Linked DNA regions of Kluyveromyces lactis. The protein of the gene in region 2 purifies or fractionates together with the protein of the main gene of each other region. This does not show direct contact. Links are inferred from orthologs where the notes say so. Each region holds a gene or a part of one and is shown on either strand. Other genes may lie near its edges.

What was found.
Region 1: the proteins of NFS1 (region 2) and ACP1 purify together in Saccharomyces cerevisiae (affinity purification with mass spectrometry; 4 studies listed by BioGRID, with this or other methods). This does not show direct contact. The link is inferred for Kluyveromyces lactis from reciprocal best matches to the Saccharomyces cerevisiae genes NFS1 and ACP1.

The regions. Positions count from the first base shown.
Region 1 is NC_006040.1:238,994-241,268, forward strand, and holds ACP1 (acyl carrier protein), read right to left. Parts: upstream 888-2,275; coding exon 522-887; downstream 1-521. Other genes in the region: type 1 protein phosphatase-activating protein SDS22, read right to left, coding at 1-145; guanine nucleotide exchange factor DCK1, read right to left, coding at 1,204-2,275. UniProt on the Saccharomyces cerevisiae protein: Carrier of the growing fatty acid chain in fatty acid biosynthesis. May be involved in the synthesis of very-long-chain fatty acids.
Region 2 is NC_006040.1:421,942-425,488, forward strand, and holds NFS1 (cysteine desulfurase), read right to left. Parts: upstream 2,102-3,547; coding exon 608-2,101; downstream 1-607. Other genes in the region: LEU2 (3-isopropylmalate dehydrogenase), read left to right, coding at 1-50; PET8 (Pet8p), read left to right, coding at 2,609-3,433. UniProt on the Saccharomyces cerevisiae protein: Catalyzes the removal of elemental sulfur from cysteine to produce alanine. It supplies the inorganic sulfur for iron-sulfur (Fe-S) clusters. Plays a role in both tRNA-processing and mitochondrial metabolism.

The DNA.
Region 1 (2,275 bases), about 180 kb from region 2:
GGTCTTCTATGACGTTCGATTGTAACGAGCGTCCCGCTGTGAACAACCCTGAAGATGATTCGTCCGGGGAATCAATACCAGTCTCTATTTCCTCATTCGTATTTTCATTATCAGTATCACTCAAAACTCTCTCTTCACGGCTCATTTTTTATATATTGGAAGTATATGGGTTCGGATCTAATACTAAATGGCGTTTATAACCATTGTCTTTACCTCAACAACCGTCTGTCTAAAGATGTGGTTTGCATGTTACATAACCTTAAAAATTGAACTCAGTGATCATTGGGCGCAAGGAAAAATGTTTGAATTACAAATCATATGACCCGATGGAAATCAAGTTCAAACATATGGAGTAATAAGGATATACAAATAGACGTTTACATATAGCACTTTGGCCATGAAACAGTTCATCAAAACTATCTTATCTTTCATTATAAGTTATATATGTGTGTCAATATATGTACATTCTTCCACATTAAATTCTGGTAAAACCGAAGGGCAACGTTTCGGATCCCAATTGCTTAGTTAGCTTCCGGGCTGGAAGCGATGTATTCCACAGTTTCACCGACAGACTTGAGCTCATCTGCAACCTTATCTGGGAATTCGATATCGAATTCTTCCTCAATGGAAACCAACAATTCAACGGTATCCAATGAGTCTAATCCTAAATCCTTGGAAAATTGAGTGTTAGCAGTAATCGAAGTAGCAGAAGCTGTCTTATCAAAAGATTTAATCACATCAGCAATACGGGTTGTGATTTCTTCTTTGGATAGAGAAGAAGAAGCATAGAACCTGGAAGCACTTGAAAAAGTTGGCTTTACAAATCCGCTTCTCAATCCAGAAACTCTGGTCAAACTTGGGGCAGCACGGAATACACTTCTAAACATCTTTGCTTTCCTTCTTTATCTCTCTGTAATATCACTAGACACTATACTGTACAGTAACAACGATCTGAAATAATCGAATGTAAAATAAAAAGAATGTACAACAAATGATCGTTGAAAATAGTTGTGGTAGAAAGGTTTAATCCAAACTCTCTCTCTGCAAAGAATTGGCTTTTGATCGATTTTTTACCGGGAAAAATTGCTTAGGCACATAAATCACTCCGTACGTTTTGATGTTTTCCTAAATGTATTTGGATTGTTATATAGACTACATGAGGTGAGAATTAGAACAGTTGCAGTGGGAGAAAGTTATTCTATGCTATCTTGTGCTTCTTAGCATGCTGATATGTGTGGTAGGACGAGATATTCTCGTAGCATGTGACGCTGCGTGAGATGGCGCGTTGCTTTTTGTAGTTCTATGGGAAGAGGTAACGGTGAGATCATGCATACTGTTTTTTGTTGCACTTCCGTTACTTCCAGCAGATCTGATAGAGTGGCTCTCTGAGAATATGGATCTTGACATTAGCATACTACTTCTCTTGGAAAAACTTTGCTGAGATGACTGGATTGATTTTATTCTTGCGATTATTTCGTCGTTGGTCTCGTTGATATCGATTCCGCTAACTTTGATCTCTTTTTCGAAATTCTTGGCGAATAAGTCCTTCAAAAGCGTATGTGACTTGCTTAAGCTGATTGGACACAGCTGTCCGTGTAGTGCGAGACAACGGTTTAGGACAATGGTCAATTCGTTGAACGCAGCAACTAATAATTCCACATCAGCAGGATCTAGTTTCGATTTGGTTTCTTCATCCGTATAGAATACACGATACTCTGCAATACCACCGTTAATAGGTGCATCAATGGTACCTGTGATATTTCTTGACAGTTCTGAAAATACTTCAGAACAATCGCCGTTTTCTTTCATTAGTTTATAGCACATGTCTTCAAGTCCGCTCAGTTCTTGGATCTTTTGTTGTAACGACTTGATGGCGTTGTTGATTGGTGATAGACGTTTCTCAGTGACTTTCACAACTTCGGATCTATTCATTAATGTTGGGAAAGTGGATTTCGTTTCAAAAATATACTCTATTACCCATAGATCAGTGATTCCGTGTGTCCCAGCAACTCTTCTAGAACTGCTAAACGTTTTCAAATCCCTGTTTTCTACGTACAATCTGACCTTGTTATTGTCATTCTTCTTGTCACTGGTGGCATACTCGTCTGATATTTGCAACCTTGGTTCCACACTGATAACGTGGATGAATTTACCATTCGGTGGCGATACCAATAACTTATCCGCTTCAGTAAAACTGTTCACTAGTTTTGAACCGGGATACAATTTTAACAGTCTGTTATGCACGGATGTGATATGTTCAAACGGTAATCCCTCG
Region 2 (3,547 bases):
CTGAGGTTGGCGATGCTATCGCCAAGGCTGTCAAGGAAATCTTGGCTTAAAGAGTCTTTTGTAACGACCCCGTCTCCACCAACTTGGTATGCTTGAAATCTCAAGGCCATTACACATTCAGTTATGTGAACGAAAGGTCTTTATTTAACGTAGCATAAACTAAATAATACAGGTTCCGGTTAGCCTGCAATGTGTTAAATCTAAAGGAGCATACCCAAAATGAACTGAAGACAAGGAAATTTGCTTGTCCAGATGTGATTGAGCATTTGAACGTTAATAACATAACATTTTTATACTTAACTATAGAAAGACTTGTATAAAAACTGGCAAACGAGATATTCTGAATATTGGTGCATATTTCAGGTAGAAAAGCTTACAAAACAATCTAATCATAATATTGAGATGAAGAGAAAGATAAAAGAAAAAACGATAAGTCAGATGAGATTATGATTGTACTTTGAAATCGAGGAACAAAGTATATACGGTAGTAGTTCCCCGAGTTATAACGGGAGATCATGTAAATTGAGAAACCAGATAAAGATTTGGTATGCACTCTAGCAAGAAAATAAAATGATGAATCTATGATATAGATCACTTTTGTTCCAGCTTAATGACCTGACCATTCGATGGAGTTCAAGTCAATACCTTCCTTGACCATCTCCCATAATGGGGACAACTCTCTTAGGAAATCAACTCTTTCCGTGATAGCCTTGATAACGTAATCAATTTCTTCATCAGTGGTGAATCTACCAATACCGAATCTGATGGAAGAGTGTGCTAAAGCATCATCTTTACCCAATGCATGCAACACATAAGATGGTTCTAAAGATGCCGAAGTACAAGCAGAACCAGAACTCAAAGCAATATCTCTAAGAGCCATCAATAAGGATTCACCTTCGACATATGCGAATGAAATGTTAACACAACCTGGGTAACGATGGTCAGCAGAACCGTTTAAGATTGTATGGTCAATAGATAACAAAGCGTTCATTAATTTGTCAGATAATCTTTTAATGTGATTTGAGTCGTTCTCGTATTCTTTCATCATCAATCTTGCTGCTTCCCCGAAGCCGGCAACCAAAGGTGGAGCCAATGTACCAGAACGTAAACCTCTTTCTTGACCACCACCGGAGATAAGCGGATCTAATCTGACTCTTGGCTTTCTTCTAACGTAAATGGCACCAATTCCCTTTGGACCATAAATTTTGTGTGAGGAAATGGACATCAGATCTATTTTCATTTCGTTCACATCGATAGGTATCTTACCATAAGCTTGCGCTGCATCGGTATGGAAGAAAACTTTGCGTTTTCTACAAAGTTCACCAATTTCTTTCAATGGTTGCATAACACCAATTTCGTTGTTGACGGCCATAACAGAAACTAAACAAGTTTCAGGTCTGATCGCAGCTTCCAACTCTTCTAAATTGATCAAACCCTGCTCATCAACATTCAAAAATGTGATTTCGTATCCTTCGTTCTTCATAGCTCTGGCGGCTTCTAACACACACTTGTGTTCAGTTCTTGTAGTGATAATATGGTTTCTTGTCTTCTTGTAAAACCTTGAGACACCCTTCAAAGCCATATTATTTGATTCTGTAGCACCGGAAGTGAAGATTATCTCCTTTGGATCAGCTTTGATAACATCGGCGATGTATTTTCTTGCTTGTTCGATCTCCTTGTTAGTTTCCCAACCATAGCTATGAGTATTTGAATGAGGATTACCATAAAGCCCCGTGTAGAATTTCAACATGGTATCTAGAACTCTTGGGTCTGTTGGAGTGGTAGCTTGCATGTCGAGATATATAGGTCTTGTACCGTATTCCCCGGATTCACGGTATGCATGTTGCAAAGAATGTATACCACTGTCCAAAACATCGGGATTTGACACGGCTCTTTCGTTGGCTTGCTCAATAGCTGCTGCTTGGTTATCTGTATGCGTTTCCAAAGTCAAATCTTCTGCTAAGGCAACCTTGGCACTTGCATACGTCCGTCCCTGTAAAACAACGTTACTAATATCAGCACGCTTCAAATAGCCAAAACCACCAGCAACGGGCACACGCCTGGAAAAAACACTCACTCCTCTTAACAATGTCATCGTCATTACAATATCTATCTTAGGATAGTAGACTGTTGCTTGAAACTTGTATACGATCTTAGAACTATAACTCCTTTTAAAACCGAGCTTTTGTCCTTAAAAACAATGAACAAAAAAACCTGGGATATCACTGAAAGTACACTGAATGTATCAATCAATTCTTGTTTCTAAAATTAGGTCTTGTACTATCAGACAATTTCCTAATACGCAACTGAGAATATAGACCCTTTGTTGCTCTCTAAACTCTTCTTCTCCTCTATTTTGATTCTGATTCTTGCATTAGTCAAGATGTGTTTCCCTCCCAAATTCCAATTATTTTCATTTCTCGATTTTTTTTCCTCAAATCCTATGTTGAAAAAAAAAGAAGCCAGAGCAGTGAACCGAACATATACATATGTATGATTTAAAGATTTGCATTTGTTGCACCATCACCTGGTTTGAAAGACGAATTGTACATCAATTACAGACTCAGACGAGTCTTTTATAGATCGGAGTTTGGGGGAATAGTGCGAAATGGATTCTCAGATGTTTATTGCGTCCTTGGTGAGTGGTGCCGCAGCAGGAACGTCGACCGATCTGGCATTTTTCCCAATAGACACCTTGAAAACCCGGTTACAAGCTAAAGGTGGGTTTTTCGCCAATGGTGGATACAAAGGTGTGTACCGTGGTCTTGGGAGCGCGGTTGTTGCGAGTGCACCAAGTGCTTCTTTGTTTTTCGTTGCGTATGATTCGATGAAGTGCTGGTCGCGGCCTGTTATCGGTCAGCTTTTGCCAAAAGGTGAAGATCAAACGGCAGATACGCTTTCGCATATGGTCTCTTCTAGTTTTGGTGAGATTTCTGCATGTATGGTTCGTGTTCCTGCTGAAGTGATCAAGCAACGGACACAGACTCATAGGACAAATTCTTCTTTGCAAACTTTGCAGGCGTTACTACGTAATGAGAACGGAGAAGGTTTGCGCAGGAATCTGTACCGTGGCTGGTCCACTACCATAATGAGGGAAATCCCGTTTACATGTATTCAATTCCCATTGTATGAGTATATGAAGAAGAGGTGGGCCGAGGTGCAAGGTAAAGAGCGCGCCGCGCCTTGGCAGGGGTCTGTTTGTGGGTGTATAGCCGGTGGGATCGCTGCTGCTGCCACGACGCCATTAGATGTGTTGAAGACGAGAATCATGTTGCACCATAAGTCCGTCTCAGCTCTTCATTTGGCCAAGACTATGTTGCAAGAAGAAGGTGTCAAGGTCTTTTTCAGTGGTGTTGGACCAAGAACAATGTGGATCAGTGCTGGTGGTGCCATCTTCCTAGGTGTCTATGAAACTGTTCATTCATTGTTCTAGGAAAAAGATTCCCCCCCTCAAACCAATGTACATAACGTTCGAAGCACACGGTGAATGATCATAATAATAATAAAATTAAAAATAAGTACTAATAACCCTGATAGAATTCTTGTA